2 linked regions of the Bombyx mori genome follow. The protein of the gene in region 1 purifies or fractionates together with the protein of each later gene. This does not show direct contact. Links are inferred from orthologs where the notes say so. Each region holds a gene or a part of one and is shown on either strand. Other genes may lie near its edges.

Region 1 (3,971 bases):
CGACTTGATCGGCCTTTTCCTTTCCCGTCAGCAACTCGATGAGGGTTAAACCAAACCAGTACGCCGTGCCGGGACCCTGGGGAACATACAGGACCGCGTTACACAGGGAGGGACAGCGTGACCTCAGGGGACCCTCATACTGATCAATCCACGTCATCTGTTGATGACGTTATTATCTATACTTTGCTGCCATCTAATAGGAAAGTCATTTATTTGCGATAGAACTCTGGTGATCTAGATTCTACAAACTGCGAAGTTTTTCTTTACCATGTACAAAATTGTCCAAATCACGAAAAAAATGGTAGTCCGTTGGAGCAAGGTCTGGCGAATACGGAGGATGACAAATGATTCCTAATTGCAGTTCCTGTAGAGTTAAAACGGTTTCTCGTGCTGTATGAGGTCTCGCGTTATCATGGAGCAATAATGGTGAAGATCGATTCATGAATCGAGTCAACTACTAAAAATCGATAATCGAATGTTGCACATTTTTCAAAAGAAGAACCCTATAGGTACCATTTGAAAAAAGTTTCACTCAAAAGTTCTATGTCAATTTGGAGTGCCTATTACAATAGAACGGCAATTTCATACTTTAACCCCTATAGCTTTATAATAAGATCACTGACCCGGCTGGTGACCACGTTGCCGTCCACCACCACCCTCTCCCCCTCCACGTACGTGTAGTCGCCGGCCGACAGCTTGTCCCTGGTGCTGGGGTATGACGTCACGCGCCGGCCCCTCGCCACGCCGTGGGCTGCAAACGCTATGGGAGCTGCCAATGTAACATTTAATTACATATTATGTCTGTGACATTATATATGTTGCGATATTTCCTTAGATAGTTTTTAATATTTTATTTACGTAGTTGCTTATTGAAAGAGAATTCTCTTATGTCTATAAACAAATGTTTCTATTGGCTTATTCAATCAACTGTACTTATTGTTGACTTTACCGGGACAAAATATTAATAAGTCAACATGTAGTTTAGAAATTTAAAATTAGTATATCCATTGGGAACGGGTGAGGAGTGGCGAGGAGGTGTCGGTTGTGATGATGATGATGATGATGACATCCATTGGTAACATTAGTATTCCAAACTCAATTGGAAGCAAACTTAAAAAAAATTTTTAGTAATTCATTTACCAGCACAAATGGCAGCAATGATTTTCCCATTATCCTCGTGGTCTTTAAGCAGAGCACCAACCTTCTCGGATTTGGAGAGACTGTCTGATCCTTCTAAGCCTCCTGGTAGAATCACCTGTTTGGAGAAAATTATTTATTTTTATAGGTGACACCTGCAGTGCTATATAACGCCTGTCAAAGTAACATTCATTGTAGTTGATGATGCCAAGTATTTTCTTCAACTTCAACTGAAACGGTGGTGCAAGACAGGGAATCTAATTTGTGGCTAGGTGATGGTCGTGACTCGTGCCCCGGTTATTATGGGTTGTCACTAGCTAATCTTATTTTGGATCATGCCTATGCTACGTCTAAATGTTTAATAAACCTAATAGAACAGAATCATTAGCCATTAAAATCACAACTGGGGTGCATAATTCTAGGTTCTAAGGTTCTCAGGTTCTAAATTATGTTAACATAGAAATTGGGTGTACTATTGTAATTTTTTTCTAGAAATGATGTAGTTTCTGCAGTTGCAAATGAACTTTGCTGTATAAGATAACGGTAAGGATACTCACAGCATCATACTGTTGTTTCTCAGCGAGGGCTTCAGTCAGTGACTTATCAGGTACTAGAGTCACTTGCCTTGAGCACAGCACAGGAGATGAACCTTCCAAGCCAGCTAGAGTAACTGTTACCTATGGGGAAATAAGGTCTTTTCAATAAGAAAAAAGCTTAATAATAAATTACTCATTGGTTAGAATACCACTATGATATTCCTTCTCATGGGTATAGAATGTAACCTTTGTTTTGTTTACTATGGAATCTGCAATGAGCATGAGCTGTGTGCAGGTGTGCTGTGAGACCTGGGAGTTCGTCCTCCAATAAAGGCAGCTTCTCTTTTGTAAATCATTTAGATACAATGTCCTTTTGTTTTAGCAATATAGTATCTTTTATTGTTCATAGCCAATTCATTTTCACTTCCTTTCCTGATACAATTTCTTTGAAATTCTATGGATTTCGTCCTTTAAGATAATGATAAAAAGGTAAAAATATTCTTTATGAGTATGGATGCTCTCCGAGTATTATAATATTTTAAAGATTCATGATTTCAATCCTACCCTTAGTGTTCAAACCAATACCATAGTATAACTCTTATACACATAACATCATTATGATAACATAATATGAAAAAACTATTTCAATGATGTTGCAGTTGGGAGTGGACAACAATTACGCAACTGATGCACATTCGAGTAGAACAGCAATTGATCAGTATATAGTAAGTAGTAACTTTTTATTGTTTAATTAAGATTTACAATTAAGCAGTGATCTAGTATTCAACTATTTGATAATTTATGGTCGATTTTCATTATGCAATTTTAGAATACACTAAATTTTCTATAGTAATAGGAGACTAGGGCTATAAGTTTTATATTATATTGCTAATACTATCAATCAGTGATCAGCTGAGGTGTTGGTCTATTTGTCATTTAGATTTTAGACTTTGTCATTGACAGCTGTGGTAGCATCATGATTACCCGGCGACCATTGTAACTGAATAGTTGATAAAAGGGTGTTAGTTTTTATTGACGAGCGAGAGTCAGCTATCTGGAATCACATTATCAGATCGTCAAGACCACATGACGGGCGAAATATGTCGATTAGCAAAAGTCTAATTACAATCCAACTAAGGAAATTCAGTCAACGGATTTAATGAATTAATTGACTACAAACCCCTCCTCGTCTCAGCATATCAACAGTTATAACTGTCTCCATCTCCTCTGCACCCTGCGCCAAAATCACTAACGCAGACTTGCTCATTGTTCTAAAATGAAAATAAACTAATATAAAACAGAAAAGCATGTAGTGTGCAAACAACAAATTACATAGTTTTTATTTCTGTATTATGTAATCAGTAGGTATTACGATAAAAGTATAATTAAAGTTTTCTTAAAGGTAATTAAATGCCGGTTCAATTTGTTGTATCCTCTATTTTGGTAGGTATTTTCACTTGATTCACGGCTAGATTATAATGTGAATGTAGTTAACGCCACTTATGCAATTAAATTCCGCTAAAACAGTTCGGTACCTTGATTTAAAAGCTCTATAATTTGCAAGAGTTTTTAAAAATAAATTAGAACGAGTAGACAATGACAACAGCAACATGAGAACCATAGATAATACACTTGATATTTATTAAATAAACATATTTGTACATAACTACTAAATTAAATATTAATTATGAACGAGTTGACAATTTCTGATTAAATTTAAGTACGGTACCTACTAGTATACATAGATAATAGACTGTGTATAAGAGAGTAAATTACCTACTTTGCCTTTGAAATTGTGTAGGTATTGTCAATTAATTGTCGTTACTATTATCATCTAAGGCCTAAGGTTATTTGTGTATGGTGTAAACAAATTATCTATGCTCGAAACATTGTAAAAAATTACCTATATCGTCAAGTGTATAACAGTCTACACTATGAAGGGTTCCGTAACGAAATGAACTTAGCTTGATAAAACACCCACAAATATTTTAGCATCCATCAATTAGCATCCATCAACATATTGTGGTCTCTTAGACCTACATATTGTCAAATCATTTTCCATTGCAAATTTTATTTAGGTTCATAAATTGTTTTTATGATTTATTTATGTCCTTAATAGGAGCACTAGAATTTGGAGGTACCTACACTTTTTTAACCTTACAAGCGCACAAAACAGCGGTAGCCGTCACAGAATATAAATTTGACACGATGTCTGAAACCGAAAAACGACATGATGCATCAACAACGTTGCGAGTCTTAGAAAAAACTATCACGACAACCTAAACAATATATTATTAT
Region 2 (3,600 bases), on another chromosome or scaffold:
AATGGATAATCCAAATATTTTAAAATTAACTATATTATGCAAGTTGTTAATTGATTCATTTAATCAACATTAATATTGTTTTATTCTCTATCAAACTGGATCGCACATTTATTGTGCGCCACCTGGCGTACGCTAATGGTACTATTATAGAAACTCACCATGAACCTTGCCATGAGCTACAAAAGTAACTACAAAATTTCAGTTCACAAACAAAGATATCAACAGATTTTCTCTAATTACAATTAAATTATATCTTAAATCATAATTTCTGATATTATTATAATATAGATATTTATTTTGTTTAAATAAAAAATATTAAGATCACCAGTTCCGCAGGGATGAAATAGGGTTTTCTGTATAGATACAGAATAGGAAATTCTGTACCTACAAAGACAGTTCTTCTACTACTGTTTTCTACAAACACTCGACGTGGCATGTAATACTCTTACGGGATTAAAGATTCCAACTTTAGATAAAGTTATAAAGTATGTCCATGGGCAGGTGTAGCTGTTTGCCAATCTATGGCATCAGCTAATTTGTTGGTCTGTGTACTGATTACAGACACGGCCGCCATACCACCAACCATACCAGACATAATCTACTATAATGCAAATTAAAAAAAATCCATATCCATCATATATTTTTAACTGTTCATGAAGTTTAATTTGTAATTTTTATTCATATTTATTTTCAAATAAGTTTTGTTTAAATGTTTTTCTTTTTTCTAAATTTTAATCTACTCACAGTCATTTTTTTTTAATAAAATTCTCAGCATACTGTCGATAGTGTAGTTCTTTAAAGTACACTACCACACTATATGTACACACATATTTTGAATATCTTCAAAATAAAAGCCTTTAAATTGCCCTATATTTTTATTACATTAATAAAGGTAATTCAAAGCTTTCATTATCATATTACATTAATGTGTATGAATAATTAATACACAAACACTATAACCAGGTATTCCATGACGCACAATCTATCTTGCCCACACATGTCAAAGCAATGCATTAAGATGCAACAGTCCACTTTTAAACCTGCCATTAGTATGCAAATGTGCAAATGTGCTTCAAAAGCATAATTAGTGTAAACATTGCTTTATTCTCACACATTGATACATAACAATGTTATGTGTACGAACACATGGTTAAATACTAGTACTCATATAAAGTAATTGCATATGGTCATAGCAAATCTACTGTCTTCATTACATGAAACTTAGATACACATTTCTAACAGAGCACACTCCACTATCTGATAGTTACTATGTAAACAGTTGGAGTAATCATATAGAACATAATACCTATGTATAAGTTATAGGTTATGTTGGTTGTTGCCATGCCAGATTTTAACAGTTTTGAACAAAAACATTTCTGGTTCGTTTATTATTTGTTTTTCGCACAATTTTAAATATTATTGTGTTATTTTGGAAAAAAATTACAAGGCCAAGATTCATGATCGGCGAATGAGTACTCTTATAGGTGTAAGCTCGAGGCCTTGTAACCTAAGACTATTCAAATAGCTTTTCAAGACACACTCCTACATAATTTAATGTAAATGTATTTTTTTACAAATGCCCTTCTCTTCTATAACCTGAAACATCGTTACATTATCGGGAGAATTTACGGATGTGTTTTTATAGGTTATAATGAGTGCCCTTGAGAGAGCCGAGAGGAACATCACATATCGAAGTAAATTGGATTGTTTCACTTATGACATGACTAAAAGATATATGAAATAAATGAAATAATTTTAGAAGCTTAAACTTCAGTTTCGGAACGGAAAGTACTCACCTTCAACTGAGGCTAGCACACAGAACTCCAACGTAACATTAACTTTTACAGACACTACACAAAAAGGATACAGGCTAAGTCCAGGTTGAATCCGTGCTTGGTGTAGCGTATCCTGCGCTTGCTGACCATATTCTTTATCGGGTTGGTCATCTTGATATTTGACATGGAGTTTGCCATGGCTGTAAAGCGATTCACTGGCCTGGGCAGCAGCTCCGCCGCCGCGCCCTTAGCGGGCCCAACCACTCCCGGCACCGACCGCTTTTCTGGGATCTTCCGCTCTCGGCGCCGGCAGCTCACGCAAACACCCATAAAACGAGTCGAGGTGCTTGGAGCGTGCCCCTCTCATCGGGCCGGCGGCGGAGCGCGAGCGGTGCCCCCGGGCGAGCCCGCGCTCGCCATCCGCGCCCCGCGAGGACCTCCACGCCGCCGCCGGATTGAAGCACCACCACGGAATCGCACTCTACGCACTATATCACCATAGCTCCTAGCCCGTGCGACGACGCTTTTTCTTTTTGATTTATATAAAAATTATCTAGCGCGAATGGCGTCCATCCTGCGATTGCACTGCACTAGAACACGGTCGAGGCGAAACAACTGCACGAGAAATTAAGATGGTTCTGCTGACGGCAGACATCTATATAGCATCTCTTTCATTCGTTCACGTTGTGTATATGTACGACCGAGATGCCACACAACCTTATTTTCTGGTAGTGGTTTCCTAGCTAGCAAAGCTCTTTGTTCCAAAAAGTTTTTGTTTTGTGTCCCAAGGTGACGCTAGTTCTACGTTGGAAACAAGCGCCGAATTCAAATTCTAGCTAATACTCAATGTTTGTAATTTTAATATACATTTTTTATTTTAAAATTTCTTATAATTTTTCATCATGGTTTGGGTTTTTCAGCATTCATTATCAGCATTTACGAAGAAAAAATTTATCTTTGATCTTCTAATTTATAGATGGCGCTTTAACCGATTTCTTATCTGTGATACTTAGCGGGAGAATTTAAATATGCTGATGGTAATATTCGATTTGTAATATCTATGTCATTATTAATTATGTAGTAAATTACGCACTGCGTGTTAATTTACTGTTTGAAGTATACGCCTACTTCAAGTACCTTCGTGTGAGTTTAACAATTAAACACGAAACACAAATCTTTCGTCTTATTTTTTATCATGTATGTACATTACTTACCAGCGATATTCCTATTGAAAATGAAAATAACACTTTACACTATTAAAAAATAGGTATATTTAAATACCTTCCTTTTTAAGTCATCGCAAATGGTTCGCGGTATATACCATTTTCGATGTTTCACTGAGATTTTCACCGTTTCACTGACAAACCACAAGTTGCGCTAATCAAATAGCACGAATAAGTTAGAAGAAATGCGTAAGAAATACAAAATTATTAAAAAACGATTTCATATTACATAGCAAGATAAAAATTGTATCAAGTGATAAAACAGTACCTCTTTCTTAGAAATCGTACCCAGCTCTGGGAACATTGTAATATGAATCGGTCTCCGCGTTTATGAATATAACGTGCAATGTGCAATTCTTATTAGCGTTTGAAAAATATAAGCAGATAAGTACATTTATCATGTTAGTTATAACTTGTGTTTGTTAACACGATACTATATTACTATTTTAGTTATTTATTTTCTATTCTCGTACTATTAACACAATGGATTATTATTGCGAGAGATAGAGATAAGTGTAGGTATAACTAATAAATTCAGTTCATAAGTTCAGCCATAAGTTCTGTTGCAGATGAAAATGCATTTTATTTAATGAAGTATTGTA

Evidence for each region. Proteins that work in one complex are often made in the same cells at the same time.
Region 2: the proteins of BmDJ-1beta (region 1) and phosphatidylinositol 3,4,5-trisphosphate 3-phosphatase and dual-specificity protein phosphatase PTEN purify together in Homo sapiens (affinity purification with western blotting; 4 studies listed by BioGRID, with this or other methods). This does not show direct contact. The link is inferred for Bombyx mori from reciprocal best matches to the Homo sapiens genes PARK7 and PTEN.

What each region holds. Positions count from the first base shown.
Region 1 is NC_085129.1:16,172,698-16,176,668, reverse strand, and holds the start of BmDJ-1beta (DJ-1 beta), read right to left. Parts: upstream 2,947-3,971; 5' UTR 2,945-2,946; coding exon of another isoform or gene 2,941-2,944; coding exon 2,854-2,940; intron 1,815-2,853; coding exon 1,695-1,814; intron 1,256-1,694; coding exon 1,141-1,255; intron 770-1,140; coding exon 624-769; intron 77-623; coding exon 1-76. UniProt on the Homo sapiens protein: Multifunctional protein with controversial molecular function which plays an important role in cell protection against oxidative stress and cell death acting as oxidative stress sensor and redox-sensitive chaperone and protease.
Region 2 is NC_085109.1:13,025,094-13,028,693, reverse strand, and holds the start of phosphatidylinositol 3,4,5-trisphosphate 3-phosphatase and dual-specificity protein phosphatase PTEN, read right to left. Parts: upstream 2,520-3,600; 5' UTR 2,106-2,519; coding exon 1,868-2,105; intron 1-1,867. UniProt on the Homo sapiens protein: Dual-specificity protein phosphatase, dephosphorylating tyrosine-, serine- and threonine-phosphorylated proteins.